3 linked regions of the Saccharomyces cerevisiae S288C genome follow. The protein of the gene in region 3 interacts with the protein of the main gene of each other region in a biochemical or structural test. Each region holds a gene or a part of one and is shown on either strand. Other genes may lie near its edges. The genes, in order: FIP1, SVF1 and CKA2.

Region 1 (3,642 bases), on a different chromosome or scaffold from region 3:
ATTTTGGCTGCATCAGAATACATCGATGAGATCTAGAGCACCCTTTGATGGTTTAAGTCCGGTTTAAAGTTAGTAGATCAATGATTTCGTAGTGCATTTTAAAGGGAGCGCTTATCCATGGGTGATTGCGTTTACAACGTTTTGTGTGTACTCATAATAGCCAATCTAAAATTAAACAACAACAACAACGCACAATTAATATGTATCAGCCCCAATACCTTTTTCTCTTACTGTAATTTACTACTAAATTGGGGTCGGACGTTTTTGATCTTGTTCCTTGCCTGTTGTTTACCTTGTATATTACTTTTCCTCTTTTATGTATTTAAGGTAAATTAATTATCTTTTGATCTTAATATTTTTCTCAAAATGCTTCCCTTGTAGTTCGGTATTTTTGCTTCTTCAGATATTTAAACTACCGTATACCATAACTGTTTCGTGAAGTAGATACAAACATCGACTATCCTATTACGATTTATTTTACATTATCATATTATAAATCGACCAGTAGTATTGTTAAAGATTAAAAGCATAATATACTACTGTCATTAGTCACCTACAGAGAAACAAATTCCTACTGGCACCCATTACTGGTGAAAAAGGAAAAAAATAATAAAAGAAAAGCTTTTCTATTCCTCTCCCCACAAACAAAATGCAAGCGGATATGCATGGAAAACTTCACGCTGCCTTAGAAGATGGTTTCTTCCTCTTTCCTTTTGAACAGCAACAACAACCTAACATTTATTATGACACAACCACCGATCAAGAAGACCGTCCTTGTTTTTCTTTTGGATCTACAATTTCCCCTAGAAGTTGGCATTTTGAAAAGTCTGACAAAATTGCCTCATCTCAGCTGCAGAACTTGGTTCATACACAACCAATTCATTTAATTAATCCTCAAATATTGTTCAATGAAGAGTTTCTGAATTTGGAAAATATTGATTCTCAGCCTATTTCCAAGGAAACGAAAACTACGAAGGACTGCACAATGGCAACTGGTCCTGAAAGAGGAAAAAAGAGCTCTGAAAGTACCAGATCCTCTTCATTATCATCTCTTTTTTCTAATGATGAATCCGCATCTACGTTCCACTCATCATTCAATAACCATGATAACTTTCAAAAGAGCAACAGAAATGGAGATGATATCGATATTAGTGACACAATAAAATATGAAACTAATACAAATGCACAAAAAGATATCAAAATATTCCAAGAAAATTTTGAATTCAATGAATTCCCATACACACAAGACTTCTACCCATATACCACTAATTATACCTATTCAAAACCCACAAATATTCATGAATCAATAAATTCAAAAAACACGGATTCATACTCCCAATATCAAGATCAGTTTCCACCACATACTGATAACATACATTCCTTTAATAATCGTCACTATAGCAACCATAAAAGCACTAATTGTAATTACTATAATAATACCAGCAATAATAACAACGCCTCCGATAATGTATATGAGGCAGATCCATTTATAGATGAACCTCAGGTGCCCTCCTACTATTACCCATTAGAAATTGCCTTCGACGTTGAAAAATCACCACCGCCATCACTACAAAAATTAAATTCAAAAGAGTTAGAATTCCTAAAAAAGTTGAACTCCAAACTGTCAAGATATGCTGCGGCTTACTCCTTCAGCAGTTCTAATGATCAAGATTATTATGACAAGGTCAGGTTTCAAGAAATATCCTACAAGTTTAGTAAAACCTATTCTTAATTCTCGAAAAGTACTACAATCTTCCCCCTTCCCTCAAAATATATCCATTCACACTCATTTCTTTATTTCCATTGTCTCACTCAAATTGCTAAGAATTTGTGTATTTGCATATATATATATTATATATAGGTATATATATGTATTCAATGTCTCAAGCTCCATGACATAATACCGTAGCGTTATTAGCCTTATCGTATGTCGCGATGGGAAAGGAGATTCGTTTTAATCTTGAAAAACCTTCGTAGCGAATAATGCGACATAAATCTTGAGAGAGTACATCACCAAATTCACTTTGTTAAACCGCACCATCGTGCTTTGCATTCTTATTCCTTTTGCCTACACTAAAATTATTAGCATTTCTCTAAATGAGCTCCAGTGAAGACGAAGACGACAAGTTCTTGTATGGTTCCGACTCCGAATTAGCACTACCTTCATCTAAACGATCAAGAGATGATGAAGCAGACGCAGGTGCGTCCAGTAATCCTGATATAGTTAAAAGGCAAAAATTCGACTCTCCCGTGGAAGAAACTCCAGCTACTGCCAGAGATGATCGTTCTGATGAAGATATCTACTCTGACTCCTCAGATGACGATAGTGATTCTGACCTAGAGGTTATCATAAGTCTGGGTCCTGACCCTACTAGGTTAGATGCAAAACTACTCGATTCTTATTCTACCGCAGCGACATCTTCAAGCAAAGACGTAATTAGCGTAGCTACAGATGTATCCAATACCATCACAAAGACATCAGATGAAAGACTAATAACAGAAGGAGAAGCAAATCAAGGTGTAACGGCAACGACCGTAAAAGCTACAGAGAGCGATGGAAATGTACCGAAAGCAATGACTGGTTCTATAGACCTGGATAAAGAGGGAATCTTTGATAGTGTTGGCATAACGACAATAGATCCTGAAGTATTAAAGGAGAAACCCTGGAGGCAACCGGGGGCCAACTTAAGTGATTATTTCAATTACGGTTTTAACGAATTTACCTGGATGGAGTATTTACATAGACAGGAAAAACTACAACAAGATTATAATCCTAGGAGGATCCTAATGGGCCTATTATCCCTCCAACAGCAAGGGAAGTTGAATTCCGCGAATGATACAGACTCAAACCTCGGTAATATAATTGATAACAACAACAACGTAAACAATGCAAATATGTCTAATCTGAACAGTAATATGGGTAATAGTATGTCTGGAACACCAAACCCTCCCGCTCCACCAATGCATCCAAGCTTCCCACCCTTACCTATGTTTGGTAGCTTTCCACCATTCCCCATGCCAGGTATGATGCCACCCATGAACCAACAGCCTAATCAAAATCAAAATCAAAATTCGAAATGAATGGGGATCTGTGAAATTGAAATAAAAATATATCGTCCATGATTCACGTATTTACTCTTATTATGTGTATTTAATTAATCTTTAAACTAAAGACCTCTCAGTCATCAGATTATATGCTGTTTTCATTCCATTAATCACCTTCTAATTAAAATCTTGCTTCAAATTATGACCGGTTGTTCGAGTCTTTTCCTCCTCAGCTAACTTTTCACAATACTTTTTCACCCAGGGTTGATGGAAAACATTCAACTCAACAACTTCCTGGAGCTTATTGTACCAATCACTTTTTTCCTCATTAGAGCATTCCGCGTTGAAAGTAATTCTTTCACCATCGTCAAATACTAGCTGGAAGCATTCATTAAAGAGTACCCAATCTGTAAAATTCCTTTGCCCTCCATTATCCGCCTGGATGTCTTCATTACGTAGGACTTTCGTGACTTTCAACAGATTAATATCGATCTTAGCCTTTCTAGAGATTTCATGATAACCAGAAAGTTGCGAGCCGTGCAGTTTGAAAAACCTGTTTTCTATCTTTCCTTTCAGATCACCACCATCCTGCAATAA
Region 2 (3,758 bases), on a different chromosome or scaffold from region 3:
TTATTCATTTGCTCAGGCTATATTACATTATATATATATATGTATGGATACATAAGAAAAATGAGATGAATAAAAACGACAACTATTTATTATGGCAACATTGTTTACTGTGGCTATTTCTCGCATCACTCTTATTTTGAACAATAGTATCGATTATGTGACGCAACAATTAAAAAGGGGTATAACGATAACTTGCTATAATTATTAAAATTTGCAATATTAGATTTGTGTAGTATTAAATCACAGATAGGAAAAAGCATACGAGACCTTCCCACTTTTGCTCATGCTTCATTGTAAGACTCCTCACTAATCACATCTGATTCAGAAATGAATGTTACTTCGGTCCAAGCTACACCGTGAATTTTCTCCCCGCCATTTATTTGTAAAGTTGAGCTTTTTGGATCAGCATATTGGTATATAAATGGCTTAGTACCAGCAACACCAGAGACGATGTTTTTAACAAAACTTGGAATTTCGCCCATCACATCAATTCTTTCAACTAGGTTGTTCAACGGACCCTCCACAACAGCACAGATCTTATTTTCTTCTGCGACGTTCTTGTATTCTTCTTCCTCTTCATCTTCCTTTTCATCTTCCTTTTCATCCTCTCCTTGTAAAGCTTGTTCAGTCCCATTCTCGGATTCCAATTGTTCATCCTTGACTTTGGTATTGATACCTTTGAAGGTGATCTTAATATCTTTTGGAACTTTCCAACCAACAGAATCAATTTCTGAGTTTAAGTGCTCAACAAGATTGTTAGTTGTCATCGCTAAAACTTCTTTATCATCGGTAATAATACCAGCAGAAATTTTAGTGTTGGCATATGATTTTGGTGTAGTGAACTCCATCAACACCGCGGAATACTTTTCGGAATGGAAAAACATGAAGTTCCATGCCTTAGCTGCGTGATGAGGCTTCATGCCTTGGAAGGCCATTATAAATGTCGAAATCGCAGGGTCTTCCTCTTTAAAAGTAATCGTACGATCTTCATAGGTGATTTCGACTTCTTCACTGTCGCTTTCTTCTTCACTACCAGATTCCTCCTCAGAATCACCAGACTCTTCATCTTCGTCTTCATTATCATCCTCATCAGCTGAGGATTCTTCTTCATCAGATTCTGGAATAACTTCTTTCTTAACTTTGATAGTACCGTGACAAGCATTCCTTGGCCAGAAAACGTGTCTCATGCTACCCCATGGTTCATTGATATTGTTACCATAATAAGTCGCAGGATCATCGCCTATCTTGGCTCCAGGGGTTAACCTTCTTATATGCAAGTCAACGACAGATAAATCACAAACACTGGATTGAATGTGATAGCTTTCACCGTCTTCACTTAATTCTACAGAAAGATTGTCGGCATAGAAGTTTGGACCTTCGATGTAAAAATTTTCCAACTTGGTGGAAGTCCAGATATTCAAATCCTCTGGATTCTTCGAGTCAAAAATTCTGAAAGTAAATTGGGATGCAGTGTGCAACCCAATGATGTTCGAATGAATAACCTGGGCAAATCCAAAGATACCTGTTTTCAAGTCACTGAAATAAAAGATAACCGATTCAACGTTTGTATGGTCAGGAGCTTGCCAAAAAAAATCTTCACGACTGGTTTCTCTGTAAGGCTGCTTATTTTTTACCCTATCAGCAACACTATGAATGTAATCTTTCCCATATTCAGGCTCAGCCATACCAGTGACTGCTGAGATCCCACCTTTTATCCACTTCAACATTATATTATATTATACAAAAGCTTATTCGTTTCTTTTTTCTTGATTCGATGCAATAAATGACTGAATCTTTTGATCTTCTACAGATTTCAAATTATCAAACGAATACAAAAGAATTCTATCAACAGGCTCTATCTATATATAACAAACGAAAAGCCGTGCTATTCGTGAATCTCAAGGAGTAATCTTGCAAGATATCCCCGAATGTTTCAATCAACCAGCTGTCATTTCGCTTTTGTTTTCTCCCACTCATCGCAAGTTTGCCTCCTCAACAACAAAAAAACAACGAAAAAAAGCGGTACTAAACCGGACCTGAAGTTCCGTGGAAAGTGAGATTTATATTATGCAGGATTTTGCTCAGATTCTCTCAAGAGCAATATCATAATGCATAAGTGATGAAAAGTATGGCAGAAACGGTGGGAGGAACCGCAGTTTTAGCTAGGATCTGGAAACAATCAGTGATTTGCCATTTAACAGCTGGGGGAATCTAAATACTTTTGAATTTTAAGGTTTCCAGCACCATGCTTCGCTTTACTGGTGCTCGCGCTATTAGAAAGTACTCTACTAGGTATGCACTCGAGCACCTGAAAGAAGGTGCTCCTCTGAAAGGGCTGTTTTCTATTGAAGGATTACAGAAAGCATGGTTCGACCGAGTGAAATATCTCGATGCAAAATTGAACGATTGTACAAATGAAGCGCAACAAAAACCCTTAGAAACTCTCATCCATGAAAATTCGAAATCTGCTTCAAAGAAACATATCGTGAACTATGCGTCATCATTGTACAACTTGAAATTTAGCATGTCTTCCCTTCAGGGATGTATCAGGACTCCGCCAGAGGAATGCCCCAGGCTAGGTCCAGAGGCGCTACTTCAGACCCCTGATTTCAATAGGACAATAAGCAATGAGCCATTGACCACTGGCAACGAACGTTTGCAAGCAGCTCTAATTTCTTCATTTGGGTCTTTGATGGAGTTCAGAACATTATTAATAAATTCAAATCTTGCTATATCAGGCGACGGGTTTACGTGGTTAGTCGCAAGACGGCAGCTCGACAAACGTGCTATGCGCAACGACATGCCAAACAGGGATATTGAATATGATAAGCTGTTTATATTGAATACGTACAATGCGGGAACTCCCTTCAACTTCTCTACATCTGGGGTAATGAATGAGCTCAATAACCAATATACCAACATGGAAAAACAACGAGCCAAAGAAGCCGGTAATCTTGAAGATTCTGAGATGACTGCCAAGCAAGCCAAGACAAAATTTATTTATGAAACCCAACAGAAAGGTTTTTCTGGGAAAGAGGTTTCATATATCCCGCTTTTAGCCATTGATGCGTCACCAAAAACATGGTTAACTGATTATGGCGTATTTGGGAAACGAGAATATTTAGAAAGGGTATGGGACTCTATAGAATGGAAAATTGTAGAGTCAAGGTTACCTCAACGTACTAAGATCCAAGCATTCAACACGTTATGAATGAAACTGGTAATGGGAATTTTTTCCTTTTGATATAAGTTGGTAGTCTCTGTAAATATATAAAGTCAAACTATTCGTAATGTGTATATAACGTGGTCTTAAATTATTTTTATTCGTATCTCTCCCTTTTATTTGCCTGGCTTTGGTGTCTCATAGCTTCTTTTCTCTCTTTTAAGCTCACTTTACTGACTTTTCCTGCCGACCTTTAGACTTTTTACTCTGCTCAGTAATTTGCTGCCCGTCGATTTCTTTTTCATATTGGGCTCATTGTAGCGCACACCCAAATAAACGTCTTCCTCATCTTCATTGTGATCATCTTGGCCGTCGAAATCAGTAGTATAATTGGACTTATGCGTTCTGTTAGGAGAATTAACGGTTTTCGACCTTCTAACACCTTCATTGCTGTGACCAACATCATAGTTGTCTCTACTTAAACTCAAGTTTCTTCTAACGCCTGTCATGGGGGCATTGCTATCACCGGATCCTCCGAGACCTAATCGTTGAGAAAGTGACTTATTTCTTTGTAAACCACCGTTACGATTATGAT
Region 3 (3,678 bases):
ACCTACTCCAACGGACTTTCCTATGGGGAATATAAAGGAACAAGGGAAGCAATTATTGGATGTAAGAAAGGAGGGAAGTGCTTCTTCATTGCTGAAAAAAGGCAGCGTATTTTACTCAAAAGGTAAATGGCTCTCTCAGCGTTCAATATCATTCGATGACACTGTTCGTAGGCGAGATATTGACAAACGTGGGAGATTTCGTGAATCATGTGTTCTAATAAATGATGTAGAACAATTCCAAAACTATTCCATTGTCTGGGACGAGAGTAGACATCGCTACCGTCGGCAGGCACTTCCAGACACGTACGATTACGAGCATCTCTATCCCAATGGCGACGAAACTCCTCGGAACACGCCTCACGACAATATAATAATTCATCAAAACTTGCATAGCATTACGGAAGGCTCTTATATCTATATAAAGTGATTTTCTGGTCATATAATAATCTACATTCGTTGTTAAATAGAGTTTGCAATTTAATATTCACATTAAGGATATTCTCTAATATCAAGCTACAAAAAAGGAAAACCCCTGCTTTTTATAAATGGAAATCAGTGGTGGAAAAAGAATTGCCTTGCTAAGAGTATTGTTGTCCAATTATTCAAACTTCGTTTTGAAAAACTTATGATCCATAGCCTCCTTTGCTGTTAATCTTTCTTGATGGTCATACCTTAATAAATTGTCGATTAAATCAACCACTTCAGGAACAGCTAATTTGGTCTCGGAGGTTATAAAGTGTGTCCACGATTTTTTTGTAAAGTCTCTCATAATGTTGTCGTATTCAGATGGTAAGTGCAACCCGTACTTACCCAAATAGCCTAACAGTTCCTTGGTTCCTAGTACTGTGGCAATCTTTACCAGTTGATCTGGATTAGACGACCCTTTGAAAAAAGGTTCTTTTTTGAAGACAATAGCTGCTAGCATGCATCCTACTGACCATAAGTCTAGGGAGTAGTCATATTGGTTCAAGTTTACTAAAAGTTCTGGTCCCTTGTGGTAACGCGAAGCGACACGAACGTTGTAATCTACACCTGGATGGTAGAACTCCGCCAGGCCCCAATCGATCAGCCTTAGTTTACGTTCCGTAGGATCAATCATGACATTCTGAGGCTTTACGTCTCTGTGCATTATGCCCATGGAGTGACAGTAGTCTAACGCAATCAATAATTGCGTGAAATAATACTGGATGTCAGGAAGTTTGAATGTAGGATATAAAGTTCTGAAATCAACATTTTTGATTTCCTCAAAGATCAAAGCAGGTATTTTGGAGTCAGCGTCTTGTACTATATCATAAAGGCCAACAACATTGGGGCCGCCTGTTAGATTGGTCAGAATTTTCAACTCTCTATAAATTTTTTTCATTTTAACTGGTTTTAAAACTTTAATAACACACTTCTGGTTGTTTACAATACATCTACCGCTGAACACTTCGGAATATTTCCCTCTTCCAATTTTGTTGATAATTTCGTAATTGGAAATCTTTCCCCAATCGATGGTCACCCCTTGTTCGTAGTCCCAGTATTCTTGTGGTCTCTCCTCGCAGGCATTCTTGTACACCCTAGCTACAGAGTAGACTCTATTAGATTTCTGGTTCAATGTTGACGGAGGTAATGGCATTCTGTTTCTTCTATTCTTTTAGGTTTATTGTTCCTTCTATTTCCCTGAGACCTTACAACTCTATGATGTTTTTTTAATTACTTTTTATTTTTTAGCAATCATACAAACTCCAACAAATGTGTGTGCCCGTTGTTTCCCAATTCAGGTTAAAAAGGTTGACGATGCTTTATTCTTCTTTTTATAACTTCCACCTAGATAAGATCGTTGGAAATTTTTCGATCGTCTGTTTGCTTTGCCAGGTTCGGGCGAAAAGCGGGCTACGCAAGGAAATTTTTTTCTTTGAGGCCTGATAAAGGCCTGTTGGCAGGTAACTAAGAAATGATAGACTGCCTTGAAAGGGGACAGCATTCACCAATTCGCCTGACTTTTGATGTCACGGAAATTATGCACACTAAATTTTACTCTTAGCGGAAAGCAGGGAAGTTTGGTCATTAGGGATATCCAACTTTGGAGCAATCGACCTACAGCAAGTAAATCAACTTCAGAGTTGAGGGGACAATTCATTCAGTATGTAGATCTCGCAAAACTGCCTTTGTGGGTCCGCTCCACAAATATGAATACATATAGATGTTATAGTACCAGTGCAACCGCACAGGCTTACTTCAAATCAAAACTAAGGAACGCGAATCGTGGCATTGTCATTGAATTGTTTGACAAGGTCGATCAGCGATCGCAGGAGCCAGCATACTTGATTATATTTCGAGAGAACACAGAGTTAAACTGCTTTCAAGTGGATCTAACAATGAAGCATGAGTTTGATGGCCAGGTCACCAAATTGAAGCAAGATATTGGAAAGACAAGGGCCTCCGTATCAAAGGAAGGTAGTATTGATATAATAATACAACAATCTCAACAAAGGAAGATCGGAACGAAAACGGAAGTGTATCGCAACGTGCATATTAATGACAAACGGCTTCAATTCAATGAAACTTTGTCCAAGCTAATTTTGGGTGGCCTCCGACTTCGAGGTATTTCTAATTCTATTACAGACTATCAAAAGTTATACAAGATAACGTTTGATGCAGCTGAATTTACGCACAGGGATGAATTAAAACGCATTTCGATGGGATCTGGTGAAGAGGTTTCGTTTGAATCATTGCAGGAAACTGTGGAAACTCTTCTGAAGCTCTTTACCAAATCATGATCAACGGGGATTTTCAGTATATAAGATCAAAATGAAAAACAAAGATAATAAAGAAAGGGTGGCAACTCTTTACTGCAATAATCGGTAGAAAACTTCGTGTGATCAACCATATATATTATACAGCGCTTCAGATGACTTCGGATAAACACCTTTTTGTGCTGATTCACGGGCTATGGGGTAACTATACTCATATGGAATCTATGAGGACAATTTTATCCACTACATTAAAAAAGGAAGATGTTAACGATGATATGATATATTTTTTACCAAAGCAGAATGCCATGTTTAAGACGTTTGATGGTATCGAAATCATTGGGTACAGGACATTGATTGAAGTTTGTGAATTTATCCGAGATTATAAAGACGGGAAAATCACCAAACTAAGCGTAATGGGATATTCGCAAGGCGGATTAGTGGCCCGATTTATGATCGGTAAGATGTTGACCGAATTTAAAGAACTGTTCGAGGATATTGAACCACAATTATTCATTACAATGGCAACGCCTCATTTGGGGGTAGAGTTTTACAATCCTACGGGCATAGCATATAAAAGTGCGTTATATAGTGCGCTGAGGACCTTGGGATCTACTATTTTAGGTAAAAGCGGGAGAGAAATGTTTATCGCAAATTCTAGTAACAATATATTGGTGAAATTGAGCCAGGGTGAGTACCTTGAAGCACTCTCGCTATTTAAATGGAGGATAGCGTTTGCGAATGTCAAAAATGACCGTACGGTAGCCTTCTATACGGCGTTTATTACGGATTGCGACCCATTTATAGATTTTGACAACAAATTGAAATATACATTCGAAGAAAAGATTCCGGGATCTGGCTATAAAGGAATATTGCCTAAGATTGTCGACCTAAACGCTTTAAACGTTAACAGCCATGCTCCTACTAAACCGACCAAGACTTA

Evidence for each region.
Region 1: of the proteins of CKA2 (region 3) and FIP1, one has a biochemical effect on the other in vitro, tested with the Saccharomyces cerevisiae proteins (4 studies listed by BioGRID).
Region 2: of the proteins of CKA2 (region 3) and SVF1, one has a biochemical effect on the other in vitro, tested with the Saccharomyces cerevisiae proteins (3 studies listed by BioGRID).

What each region holds. Positions count from the first base shown.
Region 1 is NC_001142.9:602,659-606,300, reverse strand, and holds FIP1 (cleavage polyadenylation factor subunit FIP1), read left to right. Parts: upstream 1-2,097; coding exon 2,098-3,081; downstream 3,082-3,642. Other genes in the region: transcription factor IME1, read left to right, coding at 650-1,732; BUD4 (Bud4p), read right to left, coding at 3,223-3,642. UniProt on the Saccharomyces cerevisiae protein: Polymerase-regulating component of the cleavage and polyadenylation factor (CPF) complex, which plays a key role in polyadenylation-dependent pre-mRNA 3'-end formation and cooperates with cleavage factors including the CFIA complex and NAB4/CFIB.
Region 2 is NC_001136.10:1,166,933-1,170,690, forward strand, and holds SVF1 (Svf1p), read right to left. Parts: upstream 1,728-3,758; coding exon 282-1,727; downstream 1-281. Other genes in the region: mitochondrial 37S ribosomal protein mS43 MRP1, read left to right, coding at 2,246-3,211; PAL1 (Pal1p), read right to left, coding at 3,394-3,758. UniProt on the Saccharomyces cerevisiae protein: Ceramide-binding protein that may transfer ceramides from the endoplasmic reticulum membrane to the cis-Golgi network membrane, and is thereby required for the biosynthesis of complex sphingolipids. Required for survival in response to oxidative stress.
Region 3 is NC_001147.6:439,474-443,151, reverse strand, and holds CKA2 (casein kinase 2 catalytic subunit CKA2), read right to left. Parts: upstream 1,619-3,678; coding exon 599-1,618; downstream 1-598. Other genes in the region: YOR062C (uncharacterized protein), read left to right, coding at 1-427; SLD7 (Sld7p), read left to right, coding at 1,989-2,762; LPL1 (putative hydrolase), read left to right, coding at 2,894-3,678. UniProt on the Saccharomyces cerevisiae protein: Catalytic subunit of a constitutively active serine/threonine-protein kinase complex that phosphorylates a large number of substrates containing acidic residues C-terminal to the phosphorylated serine or threonine.